3 linked regions of the Anolis sagrei genome follow. The protein of the gene in region 3 interacts with the protein of the main gene of each other region in a biochemical or structural test. Links are inferred from orthologs where the notes say so. Each region holds a gene or a part of one and is shown on either strand. Other genes may lie near its edges.

Evidence for each region. The genes of interacting proteins can lie anywhere in the genome.
Region 1: the proteins of TRIM72 (region 3) and UBE2H form a complex in vitro, tested with the Homo sapiens proteins (2 studies listed by BioGRID). The link is inferred for Anolis sagrei from reciprocal best matches to the Homo sapiens genes TRIM72 and UBE2H.
Region 2: the proteins of TRIM72 (region 3) and INSR form a complex in vitro, tested with the Homo sapiens proteins (2 studies listed by BioGRID). The link is inferred for Anolis sagrei from reciprocal best matches to the Homo sapiens genes TRIM72 and INSR.

The regions. Positions count from the first base shown.
Region 1 is NC_090025.1:195,013,499-195,021,461, forward strand, and holds the start of UBE2H (ubiquitin-conjugating enzyme E2 H), read right to left. Parts: upstream 5,674-7,963; 5' UTR 5,323-5,673; coding exon 5,270-5,322; intron 1-5,269. UniProt on the Homo sapiens protein: Accepts ubiquitin from the E1 complex and catalyzes its covalent attachment to other proteins. E2 ubiquitin conjugating enzyme that transfers ubiquitin to MAEA, a core component of the CTLH E3 ubiquitin-protein ligase complex.
Region 2 is NC_090034.1:58,587,537-58,595,499, reverse strand, and holds the start of INSR (insulin receptor), read right to left. Parts: upstream 5,686-7,963; 5' UTR 5,557-5,685; coding exon 5,451-5,556; intron 1-5,450. UniProt on the Homo sapiens protein: Receptor tyrosine kinase which mediates the pleiotropic actions of insulin.
Region 3 is NC_090026.1:15,578,999-15,586,961, reverse strand, and holds the start of TRIM72 (tripartite motif-containing protein 72), read right to left. Parts: upstream 4,442-7,963; 5' UTR 4,304-4,441; intron 1-4,303. UniProt on the Homo sapiens protein: Muscle-specific E3 ubiquitin-protein ligase that plays a central role in cell membrane repair by nucleating the assembly of the repair machinery at injury sites.

The DNA.
Region 1 (7,963 bases), on a different chromosome or scaffold from region 3:
TATTTACATATTATTATTCCTTTCTCCCCATTTATTGCATCTCAGTGGGATATAATAATAATAATAATAATAATAATAATAATAATAAAGCATTCTCTATTGACATGCTCTGATTTCATTGAGATTTTCCCTATTTTTAAAAAAATCTTCTAAATGCAATAGATGAAGTTATAGAAATTCTAACAAATCCTAACAAAAGTCTTCATTAAGAGGCAACCTTTCCTGACTCATAATTACCTGATCTGACACAATGCCACAAGAATGTGAATGTACGTTATTGTTGCTTTAAATTGTTATTTTATGATGTTTTATACTTATTATCGATATATTTGGATTTTTGTTTACATGATTTTAATATGTTATAAGCCACTTTGGGTCCCGTGAGAGAGAAAAGCAGGATACAAATAAAGATATTATTATTATTATTATTATTATTATTATTATTATTACCTTCTTAAAGGGCCAGCACCCACATTTCCTGAACTCCTCAAATCATTCCAATGGGGAAGGGTGTCTTTATTAATTTATTTGTTTCATATATTTATATCCCACCCTTCTCCCCACAAAGGGGACTTTATCTTGGAATATGATGATGGCGATTACTGATCAAGCCTCCTCTATTGACATGCTCCAGTTGCATTGGAATATAGATAGAGAAACTGGGGAGCAATTCTAGCAAAAGTCTTAATTAAGAGGCAACCTTTCCTGACTCCAATCCTTACCTTCTTAAAGGGCTAGTCCCACCCTTTCCTGACTCAGAATTACCTTCTTAAAGGGCCAGCACCCTCTTTTTCCTCAAGTAATTCCAATGGGGAAGGGTCTTTATCTAATGGGGGGGGGGTCTGTCTTTTTAAAAAAAATCTCTCTAATTCCTTTTTAAAAAGGAATACTTGGTGAGAAGAATCCTGTGACCAAGTCTTCCCTTGTGAATATATGCTATGCCCTGTCTCCTTGGACTTCTTAAAGGGCCAGTGTCCCCATTTCCTCGTCAAGTCATTCCAACGGGGAAGGGGCTTTCTCTTTTTGGAGGGAGGTGGTCTTTTTTTTTAGCCTATTCCCTTTTTTAAACGGGATCAATGAAGATCTGGTGAGAAGAATCCTGTAACTAAGTCTTTCCTTGTGAGGCTATCCCATTCCCTGGCCCTTTGGCCATCTTAAAGGGCCAGTGTCACCTATTTCCTGACTCAGAATTACCTTCCTATAGGGCCAGTGTACCCCATTTCCTGATCTTTCCTGATACAGAATTACCTTCTTAAAGGGCCAGCACCCCAATTTCCTAACTTGGAATTACCCTCTTAAAGGCCCAGCACCTCCATTTCCTGACATCTTAAAGGGCCAGCACCCTCTTTTTTTACTCCTCAAGTCATTCCAATGGGGAAGGGGGCCTTTCTCTTTTGGGGGGGCGGGGCGGGGGGGGGGGATCTGTCCTTTTACAGATCTCTCTGTATTCCTTTTTGAAAGGGAAGCCTTGGTGAGCAGGACCCTGTAACCAAGCCTCAGCTTGTGAGGATACCCCATTCCTTGGCCCCTTGGCCTTCTTAAAGGGCCAGCAACCTTTTTTTGTTTACTCCTCAAGTCATTCAAATGGGGAAGGGGGTCTTTCTCTTTTATGGGGGGGGGGGGGGTCCATCCTCTTACAAATCTCTTAAAAGGAAGACTTGGTGAGAAGGACCCTGTAAACAAGCCTCAGCTTGTGAGGATACCCCATTTTTTGGCTCCTTGGCCTTCTTAAAGGGCCAGCAACCTCTTTTTTTACTCAAGTCATTCCAATGGGGAAGGGGTCTTTCTCTTTTTTTGAGGGGGGATCTGTATTCCTTTCTGAAAGGGAAGCCTTGGTGAGAAGGACCCTGTAATCAAGACTCAGCTTGTGAGGGATCCCTCAATTCCCTGTTTCCTTGGCCTTCTTAAAGGGCCAGTGTCCCCCATTTCCTGGCCTTTCCTGACTCAGAATTACCTTCTTAAAGGGCCAGCACTCTCTGTTTTACTCCTCAAGTCATTTCAATGAGGAATTTTCTAAATTTACTTTCTGAAAGGCTCAGCAGCCCCATTTCCTGACTTCTTAAAGGGCCAGTATCTTCTTCTTTTTTTTTTACTCCAATGGGGAAGGGATCTTCTTAAAGGGCCAGTATCCTCTTTTCTTACTCCAATGGAGAAAGGGTCTTCTTAAAGGGCCAGTATCCTCCTTTTTTACTCCAATGGAGAAGGGGTCTTTCTTTTGAGGAGGGGGATCTGTCCTTTTACAAATCTCTCTGTATTCCTCTCTCAAAGGGAAGACTTGGAGAGAAGGACCCTGTACACAAGCCTTCCCTTTCCTTGGCTCCTTGGCCTTCTTAAAGGGCCAGTATCCTCTTTTTTAACACCAATGGGGAAGGGGTCTTTCTCTCTTTTGGAGTGGGGGATCTGTCCTTTTACAAATCTCTCTGTATTCCTTTCCGAAAGGGAAGACTTTGTGAGAAGGATCCTGTAATCAAACCTCAGCTTGTGACCCTTGGCCTTCTTAAAGGGCCAGTATCCTCTTTTTTTACTCCAATGGGGAAAAGGTCTTCTTAAAGGGCCACTATCCTCTTTTTTTACACCAATGGGGAAGGGGGTCTTTCTTTTGAGGAGGGGGATCTGTCCTTTTACAAATCCCTCTGTATTCCTTTCTCAAAGGGAAGACTTGGAGAGAAGGACCCTGTAAGCAAGCCTTCCCTTTTCTTGGCCTTCTTAAAGGGGCAGTATCCTCTTTTTTTACTGCAATGGGGAAGGGATCTTTCTTATTTTTAGAGGGGGGAGGTTTGTCCTTTTAAAAATATTTCTATCTTCCTTCTCAAAGGGAAGACTTGGTGAGAAAGACCCTGTAACCAAGCCTTCCCTTTTCTTGGCCTTCTTAAAGGGCCAGTATCCTTTTTTTACTCCAATGGGAAAGGGGTCTTTCTATTTTTGGGGGGAGGGGGGGTCTATCCTTTTAAAAATATCTCTCAATTTCTTTGACTTGAGGAGAAAGACCCTGTAAGCAACCCCAGTTTGTGAGGGATCCCCCAATTCCCTGCCTCCTTGGCCTTCTTAAAGAGCCAGTATCCTCTTTTACACCAGTGGGGAAGGGGTCTTTCTATTGGGGGGAGGGAGGGGGGTCTATCCTTTTTAAAATATCTCTTAATTTCTTTGACTTAAGGAGCAAGACCCTGTAAGCAATCCCCAGCTTGTGAGGATACCCCATTCCTTGGCCCTTTGGCCTTCTTAAAGGGCCAGCAACCTTTTTTTGTTTACTCCTCAAGTCATTCCAATGGGGAAGGGGTCTTTCTATTTGGGGGGGGGGGGGGGAATCTGTATTCCTTTCTGAAAGGGAAGCCTTGGTGAGAAGGACCCTGTAAGCAACCCCCAGCTTGTGAGGGATCCCCCCAATTCCCTGGCCTTCTTAAAGGGCCAGTATCCTCTTTTTTTATTCCAATGGGGAAGGGGTCTTTCTATTTTTGGGGGGAGGGGGGTCTATCCTTTTTAAAATATCCCTAATTCCTTTGACTTGAGGAGAAAGACCCTGTAACCAAGTCTTCCCTTTCCTTGGCCTTCTTAAAGGGCCATATCCTCTTTTTTACACCAATGGGGAAGGGGTCTTTCTCTCTTTTGGGGGGGGGGGGTGTTTGTCTAATTCCTTTCTCAAAGGGAAGACTTGGTGAGAAGGACCGTGTAAACAAGCCTTCCCTTTCCTTGGCTCCTTGGCCTTCTTAAAGGGCCAGTATCCTCTTTTTTTACTCCAATTGGGAAAGGGTCTTTCTCTTTTTCTTTTTTGGAGGGGGGGTCTGTCCTTTTACAAATCTCTCTGTATTCCTTTCTCAAAGGGAAGCCTTGGTGAGAAGGACCCTGTAACCAACCCTTGCTTTCCTTGACCTTTTTAAAGGGCCAGTATCCTCTTTTTTTACTCCAATGGGGAAGGGGTCTCTCTCTCTTTTTGGAGGGGGGGTGGTCTATCCTTTTTTAAATATCTCTTAATTTTCTTTGACTTGAGGAGCAAGACCTGTAAGCAATCCCCAGCTTGTGAGGATACCCCATTCCTTGGCCCTTTGGCCTTCTTAAAGGGCCAGCAACCTTTTTTTGTTTACTCCTCAAGTTATTCCAATGGGGAAGGGGTCTTTCTTTTTGTGGGGGGATCTGTATTCCTTTCTGAAAGGGAAGCCTTGGTGAGAAGGACCCTGTAAGCAACCCCCAGCTTGAGAGGGATCCCCCCCAATTCCCTGCCTCTTTGGCCTTCTTAAAGGGCCAGTATCCTCTTTTTTTACTCCAATTGGGAAGGGGTGTCTCTATTTTTTGGGGAGGGGGGCTCTATCCTTTCTAAAATATCTCTCAATTTCTTTGACTTGAGGAGGAAGACCCTGTAAGCAACCCCCAGCTTGTGAGGGATCCCCCCAATTCCCTGCCTCCTTGGCCTTCTTAAAGGGCCAGTATCCTCTTTTTTTACTCCAATGGGGAAGGGGTCTTTCTATTTTTTAGGGGGAGGGGGGTCTATCCTTTTAAAAATATCTCTCAATTTCTTTGACTTGAGGAGAAAGACCCTGTAAGCAACCCCCAGCTTGTGAGGGATCCCCCAATTCCCTGCCTCCTTGGCCTTCTTAAAGGGCCAGCATCCTCTTTTTTTACTCCAATGGGGAAGGGGTGTCTCTCTCTTTTTGGAAGGGGGGGGTGGTCTATCCTTTCTAAAATATCTCTCAATTTCTTTGACTTGAGGAGGAAGACCCTGTAAGCAACCCCCAGCTTGTGAGGATACCCCATTCCTTGGCCCTTTGGCCTTCTTAAAGGGCCAGCAACCTTTTTTTGTTTACTCCTCAAGTCATTCCAATGTGGAAGGGGTCTTTCTATTTTTTGGGGGGAGGGGGGGTCTATCCTTTCTAAAATATCTCTCAATTTCTTTGACTTGAGGAGGAAGACCCTGTAAGCAACCCCCAGCTTGTGAGGATACCCCATTCCTTGGCCCTTTGGCCTTCTTAAAGGGCCAGCAACCTTTTTTTGTTTACTCCTCAAGTCATTCCAATGGGGAAGGGGTCTTTCTATTTTTGGGGGGGAGGGGGGTCTATCCTTTCTAAAATATCTCTCAATTTCTTTCACTTGAGGAGGAAGACCCTGTAAGCAACCCCCAGCTTGAGAGGGATCCCCCAATTCAATTCCCTGCCTGCTTGGCCTTCTTAAAGGGCCAGCGTCCCTCTTTCCCTGCCTTTTGGGGTGCCCCCCGTTTCCCACAACCACAACACCCCCTTCCTTCCCCCGTTCCCCTCGTTTTCCCGCAGGCGAAGGATACAGCTTGACCACGTCGGTGTCCATCCGCCTCTTGCCAGGGCTGGGGGAGGACATGGCGCCCCCCCGGCCGGCGGCCTCTCTTGTCCTGTCAGGACCCCTTTAACGCTGGAGCCCCGCTTCCTGCGCCTGCGCGGTGGGATCCTCTCTCTCTCTCTCCTTGGCTCCGCCTCCTTTGCTCCTTCCTCCGAGGCCCCGCCCTTCCCGAGCCGGCTCTTCCTGGCACCCCCTCCCCTCTCTTAATTTCTTTGGTTCTCCTCTTGTTGTGTGTCTGTTTCCTGCGCCCTTCCGCACCGCTTTCCTGCTCCTGCTCCTGCTCTCTGCTGGCTGCTTCTGCTTCGCCCGCCGCCGAGGCTCTTCTGCTGCCTCTCTCTCTCTCTCTCCTCTGACGTCACCCACAGTGACCTCACCGCCCAGGCCGGGCTTCTTATTGGACGGCGGCGGCGACGTCACTGCGGCCAAGCCCGCCCTCTCCCTGTCCCCGCGCCCCGAGGCACGACGGGAGTTGGAGTCCTTTCCCTCAAAGCACCTCCCTGTGTTTTGGACTCCGACTCCCAGCATCCCTCAAAGGCAAGGCCTCTCTGGAGCTGAGGCCGTCTACACTGGGGAGAATTAACCCACTTTGGGCACCCCTGCTCATGGGACCCCTTGGGAGTTGTAGTTTGCTGAGGTGTTCGTGGAAGGATGGGAGTTGTAGTTTGCTAAAGTGTTCGTGGAATTATGGGAGTACTCATGGAAGGATGGGAGTTATAGTTTGCTGAGTCGATCGTGGAAGGAGGGGAGTTGTAGTTTGCTGAGGTACTCATGGAAGGATGTGAGTTGTAGCTTGCTGAGGTACTCATGGAAGGATGGGAGTTATAGTTTGCTGAAGAACTCATGTATGGATGGGAGTTGTAGTTTACAGAAGTGTTCAGGGAATTATGGGAGTACTCATGGAAGGATGGGAGTTATAGTTTGCTGAGTCGTTCGTGGAATGATGTGAGTTGTAGTTTGCTGAGGTATTCATGGAAGGATGGGAGTTGTAGTTTGCTGAAGTACTCATGGAAGGATGGGAGTTGTAGTTTGCTGAAGTACTCATGGAAGGTTGGGAGTTATAGTTTGCTGAGGTACTCATGGAAGGATGTGAGTTGTAGTTTGCTGAGGTATTCATGGAAGGATGGGAGTTGTAGTTTGCTGAAGTACTCATGGAAAGATGGGAGTTGTAGTTTACTGAAGTACTCATGGAGGGATGGGAGTTGTAGCTTGCTCAGGTGTGCATGGAAGGATGGGAATTGTAGTTTGATGAATTCATTGAAGGGTGAGAGTTGTGGTTTGCCGAGGTATTCGTGGAAGGATGGGATTTGTTTACTGAAGTGTTTATGGAAGGGTAGGAGTTGTAGTTTGATGAGGTATTTGTGGAATTATAGGAGTTGTAGTTTGCTAAAGTACACATGGAAGGATGGGAGTTGTAGTTTGTACTCATGGAAGGATGGGAGTTGTAGCTTGCTCAGGTGTGCATGGAAGGATGGGAGCTGTAGTTTGCTGAAGTGTTCAATGAAGGGTGGGAGTTGTAGTTTGCTGCAGCACTCATGGAGGGATGGGAGTTGTAGTTTGCTGAGGTATTCGTGGAAGGATGGGAGTTGTAGTTTGCTGAAGAGTTCATGGAAGGATAGGAGTTGTAGTTTGATGAGGTATTTGTGGAAGGGTGGGAGTTGTAGTTTGCTGAAGTACTCATGGAGGGATGGGAGTTGTAGTTTGATGATGAATTGATGGAAGGATGGGAGTTGTAGTTTGCTGAAGAATTCATGGGTGGGAGTTGTAGTTTGCTGAGGTATTTGTGGAAGGATGGGAGTTGTAGTTTGCTGAAGTACTCATGGAAGGGAGTTGTAGTTGCTGAAGCATTCATAGAAGGATGGGAGTTGTAGCTTGCTGAACTGTTCATGGAAGGATAGGTGTAATTTGGTGAGGTATTTGTGGAAGGATGAGAGTTGTAGTTTGTTGAGGTGTTCATGGAAAGATGAGAGCTGTAGTTTGCTTAAGTGTTCATGGCAGATTGGGAGTTGTAGTTTGCTGAAGTGTTTGTGGCAGGGTGGGAGTTGTAGTTTGGTGTGGGATCAGCACCCATTTCTGCAGGGAAGGCTAAAAGGGCGTGGAGGAACTACAACTCCCACCACTCCAAGAGCACGGAGCCATTATTTGACAGAAAAGGCTGAAAGTTCCCTTGGCGAACTACAGCTTCCAGAGTTTTGTGTGGCAAGAGAACAGGCTTGTCAAAGTGGCCCATGGCTACGGCATCCTGGGAGTTGTAATTCTACACTGTTTGCTACAGAAGGCCTTGTCGAACTACGACTCGCAGGGCCCCTATAGCCTTGAGCCATTGGCAGTTCAAGTGGTGCCAAGAAGAATATTTAGACTAGAGTCTTCTTTTAGGGGAAGAAAGCACATAATAATAATTGCAATAATAGTAACAACAACAATAATAATAATAAGAGTCTCATTTGAAGCGGGAAGCAGGAAATAATAATATTTAGAGTCTTTTAGGGGAAGAAAGCAGGAAATAATAATAATAATAATAATAATAATAATAATAATAATAAGAGTCCCCTTTTAAGGAAGGAAAGCAGGATATAATGATAATAATAATGATAAACATACAAAATATCAATTGTTGACTTTTAAGAATGGGCTCATTAGTAAATGCATAAGAATATGAGTAAAC
Region 2 (7,963 bases), on a different chromosome or scaffold from region 3:
AACAGCTCTCCTTGGAGTCAGGAAGTTCCTCATTTTCAGGTAGAATCTCTTTTCCTGTCATTTTAAACTTTCTAATAATCTGGCTCAGGAATTAATTATCTCCATAAATCTTCATGGTCTTATATTTTGATCTATCTGTTTTAACTATGTCGTACTCTCTCCTAAGTCTTGAAGACTTCCAAATAAATTGTATTATTATCATTATTATTATTGTGGGTCCTTTACTAACTGAACTACTGATGCTGAAGGAGCCGATTTGTGACCAGCATTTCTCAACCTGGCATTCGGGACCCTGGGGGGGGGGGGGAGTTGCAAGGGGGTATCAGAGGGGTCGCCAAAGACCATCAGAAAACACAGTATTTTCTGTTGGTCATGGGGGTTCTGTGTGGGAAGTTTGGCCCAATTCTATCGGTGGGGTTCAGAATGCTCTTTGATTGTAGGTGAACTATACTTCCCAGCAACTACAACTCCCAAATGTCAAGGTCTATTTACCCCAAACTCCACCAGTATTTACATTTGTACATATTGAGTATTCGTGCCAAGTTTAGTCCAGATCCATCATTGTTTGAGTCTGCAGTGTTCTCTGGATATATGTCAACTATAACTCCAAAACTCAAGGTCAATGCCCACCAAACCCTTCCAGTGTTTTCTCTTGGACATGGGAGTTCTGTGTGCCAAGATTGTTCAATTACATCATTGGTGGAGTTCAGAATGCTCTTCGATTGTAGGTGAACTATAAATCCCAGCATCTACAACTCCCAAATGACAAAATCAATCCCCCCCCAAACCCCACCAGTATTCAAATTTGGGCATATTGGGTATTTGTGCCAAATTTGGTCCAGTGAATGAAAATACATCCTACATATCAGATATTTACATTACGATTCCTAACAGTAGCAAATTTACAGTTATGAAGTAGCAACGAAAATAATGTCATGGTTGGGGGTCACCACACCATGAGGAACTGGATTTAGGTGTCACAGCATTTGGAAGGTTGAGAAGCACTGCTCTAGACCAAGTGATGATTATTATTATTAGTAGTAGTAGTGTGTGAATATGGTTACTTTACTAACTGAACTACTGATGCTGAAAGAAGTGATTCTTTAGCCCAAATGATAGTAATAAAAATAATTAGTATATTAATATTGTTCATTTACTACCTGAACTACTGATGCTGAAGGCGGAGATTCTCTACCCCAAGTGATAACTATTATGATTATTATGTGAATATGGTTCCTTTACTAACTGAACTACTGATGCTGAAGGAGGCGATTCTCTACCCCAAGTGATAACTTATATTATTATTAATATTAATAAGGTTCCTTTACCAACTGAACTACTGATAATGGAGGTGATTGTCTAGTGATACCCACCATCACTGTCCCATTTCCAATATGCCTCTGTTTGTACACAATTGCAAACAGAGATAAATATTCTGAAATATTCCTAAGCACTTCTGATCCCCAGCACTTCAGAGAAGAGAGACTCTATTATCATTAATATTCCAGCTGTCAAACCATGTAAGATCCCTTATATTACTCCTACTCTCTACTTCAAGACCACAGAAGAGAGAGGCCTAGCTTTGCTCTTTGTTGGCTATTATTACATGTATGTGTTGTTATTACTGTTATTATTTTTGCTTCCCTTCCTCCTAAGAAATTGGCGTCATAATTGCTTCTCCTATTATGATATCTTGGTATCGCATATATCACACTATGCCATATATTATGTTACAGTACAGGCGCCAACAGCAACCACAGGAAAGCAAGTATAGCATTACAAGTTGTCATTTTACTATTATCATCATTCTTGTCAGTATTACTGCTATCCTGTCTTCTCTACCTCCTCCTTAAGAAATAGGCTCCCCCTTGCACTCCTCTCCTTGCACTTATGTAATGTATATTAGATTACATATTATAGTACTACTGCCAACCACAAGACCACTGGAAAGCTGCACTGGCATATCTAAAAATAATAATAATTATTATTATTATTATTAATTATTATTATAGTTCTCTCTTCTATTCCTCCTAGGAAATGGATACTCGCTTGCACTCCTATTCTTATACTATTTATATTTGTATTACTATCGACAACAACAAAATGACAGGAAATCGGCACTGGCATATCTAGAGATGATGATGATAATAATAACAATTCACTCTTCTATTCACCTATTCTTATATGCTTTATAGCATTATAATATCAGATATATTATATATATTACACTATTGTGCTACTGCCAACCACAAGGCATTACCAAGTATAATAATAATAATAATAATAATAATAATAATAATAATGTATCTCTTCGTTCCCTCCTTCCCTTCCTTTGGATTAAACTTCTTATTTTTTTGTCGTGTCAGGAGCGACTTGAGAAACTGCAAGTCGCTTCTGGTGTGAGAATTGGCCGTCTGCAAGGACGTTGCCCAGGGGACGCCCGGATGATTTGATGTTTTTATCATCCTTGTGGGAGGCTTCTCTCATGTCCCCGTATGAGGAGCTGGAGCTGATAGAGGGAGCTCATCCGTCTCTCCCCGGATTCAAACCTGCGACCTGTCGGTCTTCAGTCCTGCCGGCACAGGGGTTTAACCCACTGCACCACCGGGGGCTAAAACTTCTTATGAATAATAACAATAATATTTCCTCTGCTCTCCCTCCTATTCTTAATAGGCATTACAAATCTAATAATAATAATAATAGTGATGTATTTCCTCTCATATCCCTCCTCCCCTTCCCCATAATAGGCATTACAGTAAGCAATAAGCATAATAATAATAAGCATAATAATCTCATCTTCTTAGCAGGCATGATAGATCTAATCATAATAATCATAATAACAACAATGTATTCCCTCTCTTCTTCTTAACTGGCAAAACAGATATATTATTTCTACTACTACTAATAGTGATGTATTCCCTCTCCCTCCTGTCCTGCCATTGGATTAATCTTAATAATAATAATAATAATAATAATAATAATAATAATAATAATAGCGATGTGCATTTCCTTCCCTCGTCCTAAGTCATTACAGATCCAATAGTAACAATAACAATAGTAAGCATAATAATAGCAATGTATTCCCTCTCCTCGTCTTCTCAAAAGGCATTACAGATCTAATAATAACAATAATAGCAGCAGCAGCAATGTATTCCTCGTCTTCTCAACAGGCATTACAGGTCCAATAATAATAATAATAATAATAATAATAATAATAGCAATGTAGTCCCTCTGCTCCTCTTCTCAATAGGCATTACAGATCTAATAATAATAATAATAATCATAATAGCAATGCATTCCCTCTCCTTCTCTTACAGACCCAATAGGAAGCATAATAATATTAATACTAATAGCGATGTAGTCCCTCTCCTCATCTTCTCAATGGGCATTACAGATCTGCTACTAATAATAATAAACATAATCATAACAGCAATGCATTCCCTCTCCTTCTCTTACTGACCCAATTGGAAGCATAATAATATTAATACTAATAGTAATGTAGTCCCTCTCCTCTTCTCAATGGGCATTACGGATCTGTTACTACTACTAATAAATATAATCATAATAGCAATGCATTCCGTCTCCTTCTCTTACAGACCCAATATTAAGCATAATAATACGGATACAAATAGCAATGTAGTCCCTCTCCTCCTCTTCTCAATGGGCATTACAGATCTGCTACTAATAATAATAAATATAATCATAATAGCAATGCCTTCCCTCTCCTTCTCTTACAGACCCAATAAGAAGCATAATAATATTAATACTAATAGCAATGTAGTCCCTCTCCTCCTCTTCTCAATGGGCATTACAGATCTGCTACTAATAATAATAAACATAATCTCATAATAGCAATGCGTTCCCTCTCCTTCTCTTACAGACCCAATAGTATGCATAATAATATTAATACTAATAGCAATGTAGTCCCTCTCCTCTTCTCAATGGGCATTACAGATCTGCTACTAATAATAATAAACATAATCATAATAGCAATGCGTTCCCTCTCCTTCTCTTACAGACCCAATAGTATGCATAATAATACGAATACTAATAGCAACGTAGTTCCTCTCCTCCTCTTCTCAATGGGCATTACAGATCTGCTACTAATAATAATAAACATAATCATAATAGCAATGCGTTCCCTCTCCTTCTCTTACAGACCCAATAGTATGCATAATAATACGAATACTAATAGCAACGTATAGCAACGTAGTTCCTCTCCTCCTCTTCTCAATGGGCATTACAGATCTGCTACTACTAATAATAAATATAATCATAATAGTAATGCCTTCCCTCTCCTTCTCTTACAGACCCGATAGGAAGCATAATAATATTAATACTAATAGCAACGTAGTTCCTCTCCTCTTCTCAATGGGCATTACAGATCTGCTACTAATAATAATAAACATAATCTCATAATAGCAATGCATTCCCCCTCCTTCTCTTACAGACCCAATAGAATGCATAATAATACGAATACTAATAGCAACGTAGTTCCTCTCCTCCTCTTCTCAATGGGCATTACAGATCTGCTACTACTAATAAACATAATCATAAGAGCAATGCATTCCCTCTCCTTCTCTTACAGACCCGATAGGAAGCATAATAATATTAATACTAATAGCAATGTAGTCCCTCTCCTCTTCTCAATGGGCATTACAGATCTGCTACTAATAATAATAAACATAATCATAATAGCAATGCATTCCCCCTCCTTCTCTTACAGACCCAATAGAATGCATAATAATACGAATACTAATAGCAACGTAGTTCCTCTCCTCCTCTTCTCAATGGGCATTACAGATCTGCTACTAATAATAATAAACATAATCATAATAACAATACCTTCCCTCTCCTTCTCTTACAGACTCCATAGGAAGCATAATAATATTAATACTAATAGCAATGTAGTCCCTCTCATCTTCTCAATGGGCATTACAGATGTGCTACTACTAATAAACATAATCATAATAGCAATGCATTCCCTCTCCTTCTCCTACAGACCCAATAGTAAGCATAATAATACGAATACTAATAGCAATGTAGTCCCTTCTCCTCATCTTCTCAATGGGCATTACAGATGTGCTACTACTAATAAACATAATCATAATAGCAATGCATTCCCTCTCCTTCTTCTACAGACCCAATAGTAAGCATAATAAACGTAATCATAATGGCAATGCATTCCCTCTCCTTCTCTTACAGGCCAAATAGTAAGCATAATAATACGAATACTAATAGCAATGGAGTCCCTCTCCTCCTCTTCTCAATAGGAATTACAGATCTAATAATAGTAAGCATAATAATAGCAATGTATTCTCCTCTTCTCAATAGGCATTTCAGATCTACTGTGAGTACTACTATTAGCGATGGATTCCCTCTTCCTTCCCAGTCATTCCAGATCCAACCCTAGCCCTAACCCTCTCCCGCATGCCTTCGCTGGGACTCACTCTGGTCGGGGTTCTGGGCTCGCGCCTCGGGCATGCAGGTCGCTAGAAGCACTCCCAGGAGGAGGCCTAGTCCGAGCCCGAGGCCTAGACCCAGGCGACCCGCCATGCCTCCTCCGCCGTCGCCCTTCTCCCTCCTTCGGGGTCTCTCTCGATAAACAAGCGGCACCGCCTCCTCCGTCCTGGGCGGGGAAAGCCAGGCCTTCCCTCCCTCCGCGCTCCACGCCCCCTCTTCCAGTGGAGGGCAGGGGAAAAATGGCGCCCGGAGCACGGACGGGGTTCCTTTGCCGCCTCACAGCCTCGGCGCCTACAACTCCCAGAAGGCCTCCCCGCCTGCACCAAGAGGAAAGAACTCTGGGAAATTGAGTCCCAAACAACACAGACCTGAGCCTCTGAGTCCCAGAAGCCCTCGCCGGTTGTTTCAAGGGGAAGGCATTCTGGGAAATGTAGTCCGCGAAATATTCCTAGCAGGGGCGCCCCTCAGCGAGGCCTATCGCTCCTCAGTCAGGGATAGAGCCTTCCTTGAATGGTTCTCCACCTTTTTCCTCTTTAATGTTATTAATAATAATATATTGTCATGGTAGAATAACATTATAGTAACATTAGAATATAGATATTATGGAAAACACAGGAATGACCATCAGACTGGAAAAAATCCATTTATATCCCCATACCAAAAAAGGGAAATGCTAAAGACTAATCACCTCTCAAGAAAAGATTGCCCCAGGCACTGCCAGGCCATCAAATGCTAATCAAGGTGGTCAGTTGAAACATTTTTTATTTATTTATTTAGGTCATTTATACCCCGCCTTTCTCACCCCCTAGGGGGGACTCAAGGCGGCTTACATCCGGCACAATTTGATGCCCACAATTACAATTAAATGCAATAGCAAAACACAATAGACTAAAAACAGACAATTAATACAATACAATATAACACAAAACATTCACACCTAGCTCCAACAGACAAGAGCTCTGTGTCCCACCCTGGTCATTCCACAGATATATAAACCCACTTTCCTAGTTCCAACAGACCTCACTACCTCTGAGGATGCTTGCTACAGATGCAGGCAAAACGTCAGGAGAGAATGCCTATAGAACAGGGGTCCTCAAACTAAGGCCCGGGGGCCGGACACGGCCCTCCAAGGTCATTTACCCGGCCCTCGCTCAGGATCAACTTAAGTCTGAAATGACTTGAAAGCACACAACAACAACAATCCTATCTCATTCTGGGAAATGTAGTCCGCAAAATATTCCTAGCAGGGGCGCCCCTCAGCGAGGCCCATCGCTCCTCAGTCAGGGATAGAGCCTTCCTTGAATGATTATCCACCTTTTCCCTCTTCATGTTGTTATTAATAGTAATATATTATCATAGTAGAATAACATTATAATAACATTAGAATATAAATATTATGGAAAACACAAGAATGGCCATCAGACTGGAAAAAATCCATTTATATCCCCATACCAAAAAAGGGAAATGCTAAAGAGTAATCACCTCTCAACAAAAGATTGCCCCAGGCACTGCCGGGCCATCAAATTCTAATCAAGGTGGTCAGTTGAAACATTCACACCTAGCTCCAACAGACAAGAGTTCTGTGTCCCACCCTGGTCATTCCACAGATATATAAACCCACTTTCCTAGTTCCAACAGACCTCACTACCTCTGAGGATGCTTGCTATGTTGTTGTTGTTCATTCGTTCAGTCGTCTCTGACTCTTCGTGACCTCATGGACCAGCCCACGCCAGAGCTCCCTGTCGGCCGTCACCACCCCCAGCTCCTTCAGAGTCAAGCCAGTCCCTTCAAGGATGCCATCCATCCATCTTGCCCTTGGTCGGCCCCTCTTCCTTTTGCCTTCCACTTTCCCCAGCATAATTGTCTTCTCTAGGCTTTCCTGTCTCCTCATGATGTGGCCAAAGTACTTCAACTTTGTCTCTAGTATCCTTCCTTCCAGTGAGCAGTCGGGCTTTATTTCCTGGAGGATGGACTGGTTGGATCTTCTCGCAGTCCAAGGCACTCTCAGCACTTTCCTCCAACACCACAGCTCAAAAGCATCGATCTTCCTTCGCTCAGCCTTCCCTAAGGTCCAGCTCTCACATCCGTAGGTGACTACAGGGAATACCATGGCTTTGACTAGGCGGATCTTTGTTGCCAGTCTGATGTCTCTACTCTTTACTATTTTATCGAGACTGGACATTGCTCTCCTCCCAAGAAGTAAGCGTCTTCTGATTTCCTGGCTGCAGTCTGCATCTGCAGTCATCTTTGCACCTAGAAATACAAAGTCTGTCACGGCCTCTACGTTTTCTCCCTCTATTTCCCAGTTGTCAATCATTCTTGTTGCCATAATCTTGGTTTTTTTTATGTTTAGCTGCAACCCGGCTTTTGCGCTTTCTTCTTTCACCTTGATTAGAAGGCTCCTCAGCTCCTCCTCGCTTTCGGCCATCAGAGTGGTGTCATCTGCATATCTGAGGTTGTTAATGTTTCTTCCAGCAATTTTCACTCCAGCTTTGCATTC
Region 3 (7,963 bases):
ACTTAGAAGGGTAGTTAAGAAGGATCTAGAACAGTGGCTCTCCATTTGTGGGTCCCCAGGTGTTTTGGCCTACAACTCCCAGAAATCCTAGCTTGTTTACCAGGTGTTTTGGGAGTTGAAGGCCAAAACATCTGGAGACCCACAGATTGAGAACCATTGATCTAGACAAATCCATAGGTGTCAGGATAAAATTATTGAATACTAAAATTATGATATTGTCCCTAGAAGTCAAGGTATCTAAACTATGGCCATATCATAGGAACTGTGATATGGTACTGTGGCCATATCATAGAAAGGCATGTCTTATTAGAAAAGATAATGATGCTTGATAAGGTAGTAGGTTGTAGAAAAGTGGCTACCAGTCCACTTGCAAGCACAATTCAAAGTACTGGTCTTGGACTATAAAACCCTATATGGTTCCAGCCCAGCTTATCTGTCCGAACATATCTCCCTCTATGTCCAACCTTGCAATTTAAGATTGTCTGGGGAGGCCCTGCTCTCAGTTCCGCCAGCTTCACAAGCATGTTTGGCAGGGATGAGGGACAGGGCCTTCTTGGTGGTGGTCCGCTGCCTGTGGAACTCGCTCCTCAGCAAGATTAGATTGGCTTCATCCCTCTTTTCTTTTAGGAAGAAACTTAAATCTTGGTTTTAGGACCAGGCTTTTGGACAGCAGACATGACAGCACTTGGATGTTGAATCAGACTGGAAATGGTTATATGGCTTGATAATAATGTTTTAATTTGTTTTAACCTAATGTTTTATCTATTGTTTTAAATTGTTGTTATATTTGTTATATTGTTTGTATGTTGTGGCATTGAATTGTTGTAAGCTGCCCTGATTCCCCCTTCTGGGGTTGAGAAGGGCAGGGTAGAAATAAATAAATAAATAAAGAAAGAAAGAAAGAAAGAAAGAAAAAGCGAAAGAGCACATTCCTGGTGATTGGCCTCAATCAAGGAAGCCATGATCCCGAGTTTGCAAGATCTGAGCAGCGCTGTTGAAGATAGGGTGACTTGGAGGTTTCATATTCATAGGGTTATCATAAGTCAAAGATGAGTTGATGGTAGTTAATAACAACAACAAAACCAAGGTTAAAATGGCGTTAATATTTAATGTAATGTTTTTAGGTGTTTAATATGTATTAATTTTAATTCAATTAATTTTAAGCTTAATGTTTGTATGTATCTAAGGCATTGAATAATTGCCATATGTAAGTTGACTTGAATTATCTTGGAGGTAGAGAAAGGTGGGGTATAAATAGGGTAACTAACTAACTAACTAAATAAATAAATAATAAAATTTAGAACCAATACATAACAAACTCAACCAAGCAATACTTTAAAATCTGTATTTTAAAATAATCTGGATAGAGGCTGATCTTTACTGCTGTTTTAAACACAGGTGGCTTTTTCAGATGATAAAGCCCTTCTGGCAGGTTATTCTACAATCTGGAGGTGGCCAAAGAAAATATCCTTTGTGGGTATCAGTTGACAGCAAAATTTGGTAGGCTGATAAGAGCTCAAATGTAACTAAAGTTTTAAAAAGTTAATTTTGGGATTAGAAGTTCCATCATCCCCCATCTGAAACATGCACATTAGCTATGCAGGGAATGTAGTTCAAAAAGTAACTAATTTTTAAAAGTAACCTTTTCAAGCTCTGAGTGTAACCCTATACAACACAGCTCCTTGTCAAATATCTAACCCAAAACTTCTTTTGGTGTCTTAAAGGCTTAGAAATTCGAGACAAATGAGTCTGAGTGAGAGTTCTACAATGATTCCAATAAAAGTTGGATTGGGAGAGAAACTGAAAAACTAAACAGGAACTGTCCAAAAAAGGATCGCTGCTGCCACCTCCAGCCTTTGCACCATAGTTCCTATTTGATTGACCTTCACGCTTACAGTCTCTTCCAACTGCATCTCAGGATTGTAACCAGATATACCTCTGCCCTGGGATTCATTCACTTTCTCTCTAAGACCCTGTTAAATCCTACTTTTTAAAAGTTATGCTGCCTGCTGTTTTCCTCCTTCTTCCCCAAAGTGAGAGGCAAAGTGATGCCAAACAGCTTTTACAATGTAGATGCAACTCTTCTGAGTTGGCCTTCAACACCAGTTTGTCCAGATTTCTGGACTTCGGGAGATTGGATATTCCTGATTTCATTGCCATCCCTGTCTCCTCCTCTGTGCAATTTTGTTCATCCGCTGCTTGCTCAGGGCTATGACAGCCTGATCTATTGCAAGTTGGAGAGAAATGCTAAACTTGCAAGGCAGCTGCTGGGCTCTCTGCTAGGCATGGTGACAAACGCCCTATAAATAGTTCAGAAGGGAAAACCAGAGTGGTAACTTGAGCCCATCTCTGAGCCATGCCTGCCTGCTTCTTTCTGTCTTTTCTCTCTGTATGGTATACTGTTGCATTTTGCTATAATGTGCCTTTATGTGACTCTACAATGAAAGCTAAATGGTAAGTTTTACACCACTCTGCACTGCATGGCATTGTGTGTTTTTGGAAATAAGGCCCCTGTATCTTCCGATAGGGTTGCCATAAGTCAGAAACAACTTTAAGTACAAAGCAATAATAACAATGCCAATCTTAAGCCTTTTCAGATTTAGGATGACATTTTCTTTTGGTAATACACATAATTTTCCTCTTCCCAAAAACCTTGCAATTGCTTTCCTCTGGAGCGGAAAGGGTGTGACTTGTTCAAGGTCACCCATGACCTCATCAGATGGGCATTGGAATCACCACGCATTGTGATGAATCCAGAGGTGCACATCGAGGGACGTGGGGAACTCGTCACCCCATTTCCCACATTGTCCACTCACCTGTTGCTCCATCCCACAGGGGAAGCGTTGGCCACTGGCTTCCCCCCATTGACCCAAATAACACGGGAAGTGTCCCAAGTTGCCACCAAGGCAGAATGTGCCAGTTTGTTTTTACTTTTATGATAGAGCGCCACTGGAAGTAAACATAAAGTCAAACTGGCACATGCAGCCGAAAAGTACCCGGTCTGGTGAGGTGCCAAGTGAATTTCATGGTTGAATGAAGATTTAAATTAGGAAATTGCAAGCCTCATCTTAATAAACATTTCCACACACACACACCCTATTTGCTTTCAGGTCAACATAAGTCAGAAACAATAATAACAACAACCTGGGTTCTCTTTTTAATTTTGTCTTTTATATATGGTAAAGTCAGTCCCCAAGTTACAAATATCCGGCTTACAAATGATTTAAAGTTACAAACTGGGGTTAGATCACAGGAACTGAGAGAAATCAACCCCTCAGAAGGAAAATTCACTCCTGGAAGAGTTATTATGGGGGAAAGGTGTCTCCACTAAAGCTTTCTCACCAATCCTTGTCAATTTTTTCTCACCAATCTTGCCAAATTTTTTTCAGAATCCAATTATTACAGTGACAGAAAATTATGTGAAATCTTCCCAACAGACAACAAAACAAACACCACAGGGGTGTTAACCCTCCCCTAAGGTATAAGTTTCCCCCTGACATTAAGTCCAGTCGTGTCTGACACTGGGGGTTAGTGCTCATCTCCATTTCTAAGCCGAAGAGCTGGCATTGTCCATAGACACCTCCAAGGTCATATGATTGGCATGACTGCATGGAGCGCTGTTACCTTCTCACTGGAGCAGTACCTATTGATCTATTCACATCTGCATGTTTTTCAGCTGCTAGGTTGGCAGAAGCTAGGGCTAACAGCTGGAGCTTATGCCACTCCCTGGATTCAAACCACCAACCTTCTGGTCAGCAAGTTCAGCAGCTCAGCACTGCCCCCCCCCCCAAGCTATCCAAAGCTTTAAAATATACATTTTTTGCTAAAGTTAACACTTTAAAAATATACCTGTCCATCTTACAAACAAATTCAACTTAAGACCAAACCTACAGAGCCTATCTTGTTCACAACTTGGGGACTGCCGATAAAGTTATTTGCATGTTGGATTAAGATTCTGGCAGACCAGTGTTCGAATCCACAAGGCTATGGAAACTCACAATGCATTCATTCTCAGCATCAGATGAAAGCAACTGCAACCTCCATCTGAACAAATCATGCAAAAATAAATAAATATATAAAGCCCATATTAGACTCATTTGAGGGTTGCCATAAGTCTCAAATGACTTGAAGGCACACAAAACCACGACTAGAACAGTGACAGTTGCATAACTTTATAATATCAGCATGACTATTTCCCTACTTGTATCTATATCTGTAACATGATTAAAGGTATAAAACATGACTTTAGAAGAAGGAAGGAAGAAGGAAGAAAGGAAGGAATAAAACACAATAATATCCTTACTAGAGAATGCTAATGTTTAAGGAAACCAGCAGTGTTCACAGAGCATGTATCCAGTAATCAGGCAGACACCAAAGAGACAGCAACCATCCTGGGACAAGTGGAGACGTCAAGTGAATTACTCTCAGTCCCACCCAGGTCCTCCTATATATAGCTCAATAATGCACCCTGATTCTGGGAAGGGTAGGATGTCACCTAATTTGTCTCTTTCTCTTTCTGAAGGAGGCTGGGGTAGGGAAAGAATCACAGTATGCTCAAAATAGGTTTCTTTTAAGAAGGCTACTTGATGCAGACTTCTATCCAGTTTCTAGGCAGCCCTCTAAAGACAAAATGTTTGACATTTTTATGTGGCACTCTTATCACTCCTACTTGTCTCTGTGGCTGAGCAATGCTTAGTTGATTTCTCGAATGCATGCAACAGCTGAGAGCTAGGGTTGCAAGAAGGAAGCTCTAGAGTGTCCAGTTTCCCAGCAAAGGATATCACAGAATGATTGACAGCTCATAATTATAACTGGCATTTGAGGATTTTCGGGAATAGGTAGAATGAACTGAGTGGGTGTATGGTGTGTGGGATGGGAGATGATTTGGGGGATGATATATCAAGTGGGTGTTCCATGGGATAAGACTGAATTATAGCAGATGATAGGGTGAATATCCACCCTGAATATACAGCTTCAGAATATACATGTGGATTCATATAAGTGAGTGGTTATCCACATCTTGCAATATAATAATAATATAAAATGTAATTGCGCAAGGAAAACCAGTAAAGTTATGCTTTGGTTAAGGTATAACTTTGCCAATTGAAACTGTGTATGGCTTCAAGCTCTTTCTGTTTCAGGGAGGCTCTAAGGGAGCTTTTCTCAACCTAGGGGTTGCAACCCAGGGGGGGGGGGTCACGAAGGGGGTGTCAGTGGGGTCGCCAAAAGACCATTAGAAAACACAGTATTTTCTGTTCATCAGGGGGGTTCTGTGTAGGAAGTTTGGCCAAATTCTATCATTGGTAGGGTCCAGAATGTGCTTTGATTGAGGTGAACTATAAATCCCAGCAACTACAACTCCCAAATGTCAAGGTCTATTTTCCACAAACTCCACCAGTGTTTACATTTGGGCATGTTGAGTATTCATGCCAACTTTGGTCCAGATCTATCATTGTTTGAGTCCACAGCGCTCTCTGGATGTAGGTGAACTACAACTCCAAAACTCAAGGTCAATGCTCACTAAACCCTTCCAATTTTCTGTTGGTCATGTGAGTTTTGTGTGCCAAGTTTGGTTCAATTCCATCATTGGTGGAGTTCAGAATGCTCTTTGATTGTAGCTTAACTATAAATCCCGGCAACTACAACTCCCAAATGACAAAATCAATCTCCCCCTCCCCCATTCCTACTAATATTCAGATTTGGGCGTGTTGGGTATTTGTGCCAAATTTGGTCCAGTGAATGAAAATACACCCTGCATATCAGATTTTACATTAGGATTTATAACAGTAGCAAATTACAGTTAAGAACCATAATTTTATGTTCGGGAGTCACCACAAAATGAAGAATTGTATTAAGGGGTTGCGGCACAAGAAAGGTTGAGAAACATTGCTCTAAGTTGAATGTATCATGGGGTTTTCATAGAAAGACTGATTCAGATAAAGTTTGTCTCAGGCTGAGGGAGTGAGACGCTCGCAATGTCATTCAGTGGGGTTCTGTAGTTGAGCGAGGATTCAAACCCTGGTCCTGTTCCAATACCATTTCATTACATTGGCTAGAAACTGTTTAAAGCTATTTAAACCTATCCAAGAGAGGCACCTAGTGGTTAATTCTAATGCAAAAGAAGACTAATTTCTAGACCATAAAAAGCAGGAAGGAAGGGGGAGAAAAAAAAAGAAATGTGGCAGTTCCTGTAAAGACTAGCTGGTTTTTATTTTTGCATGAGCTCTCAGAGTTGTAAACTCACTTCTCTGAATGCAATACAGAATGATATTAAGATCTCAGCAACAAAAAGATCCCATAGAGATAATACCTAAAATACTGGAAATTATTGAGGACTTTGGAAAAGCATCTGGACTTACAATTAACAAACAGAAAAAATGTTTAAGAATCTCCAGAAGTAAGACCAGAAGTAAGAAGGAAAGGACAGGTATTGAAACTGTCAACAAAGCAAAGTATCTGGGAATCTACATGAGTATTAGGCATGTGCAAAAAATTCAGAAGTGTTGGAATTTATAAGAAAATCGGAAATTTTGTAAGTCGTAAGCCATATCCAAAGTGTTTGTGTGGCCCACGCCAAATATTTTGGAATCAAAACTTAACCCATACTTAGTTTTGTAAATCCCAGAAGGCTCACAAAGTTAGTTTCATATTCAGTGCAAGGAAACAAAGCTATTAAGCCAAAAAGGCTGCCTGCCTGAACTTTCCTCTCCCTGGAATTAAGCAACTGAAAGGAAAAAGGAAAGACTGTTAGGAATTATGGGAGCTGGAGTCCAAAACACCTGGAGGGCTGAAGTTTGTCCATGCTTGATACAGAGTAAGCTTTAAAAGGTTCCAGCATCTTGTTTATTCCCATTGATAAAATAGCAATGAGTAACATACACAGGTAAATGTATCAAAGATCAAAATAAAACAGCATCAACCCAAATTATGAGATTTAAATAAGAACTTTACTTACAAAAATGCATGTCAGTCATCACACAGTTTTAAAACTTGTTTAGATAGATTGTTCTGTCGCGCACTGGGCTTGAAATGAAGTGCCTTAAAAACAGTACATGCAGCTTGAGCCCAGCGGGAAACCAGGGCCCCCGAAGAGAAGCTCTTAGGGATTTTCCACCACAAACAGTCTTTAGAGGGCTTGTGAAATATAACAAAGTCTTTTATTGAGGAACAATCAAACAGAAACTTCTCTTGTCTTCAAAAGGTTAAACAAATGCTTTCAGGCTTTTGTGCAACTGGTGGCTTCTAACTGTTACTTTACTTTAAAGGAAAATCCCTTTCTAACTTCTCCCAGGCTGACTGTGAACCTAAACCTAACTGATGTGGGCTCCACTACCAGTTTGAACTGCGTCTCAAAGCACCGAGTGGACCTACCAGCATGGCCTGTAGTCTCTTCAGCTGGAGTTCTTTGATATTCAAAGCTGTTTTTCCCTCCAAAATTCCTCAGAGCTTTAGGGCTCTTTCCCTGGACTGTTCCCCCCCCCCCCCCCCCGGAAAGTCTTAAGGGTTGAAGCTTTTGCACAGGAGAAGACTATACACATCCTGTACATTAGTTATCCTTGCTGAGACTGACCAAAATGGTTCCTATCCCTCTCAGAGCCTGAACAGGGAGCGGAATCAAACCTTAATGATGATGGACAGGTGGCCTGCCCTATAACTGCAAGCGTTAACAGGAAGCCACCCTTCTGCAGAATCCCAAGCCTTGGACTGCAAGCAAACATTTAATACAAAGCAAATAAAGCTGGAGCTTCTGGTACGGCCGTGCCAGCACATAGATCAAATTCAGTTACAAATTGAGGGGTAAAATAGAATTTCTTCTCTCATGGTGATACAAAAGGACAGAAATCCCATGCAGTCAGCTAGAGGATCGTGTAAAAAGAGTACATGTACATGTGAAAAAGATCTTGGAGTCCTTGTGAACAACAGGTTAAACATGAGCTAACAATGTGTTGTGGCGGCAAAAAAA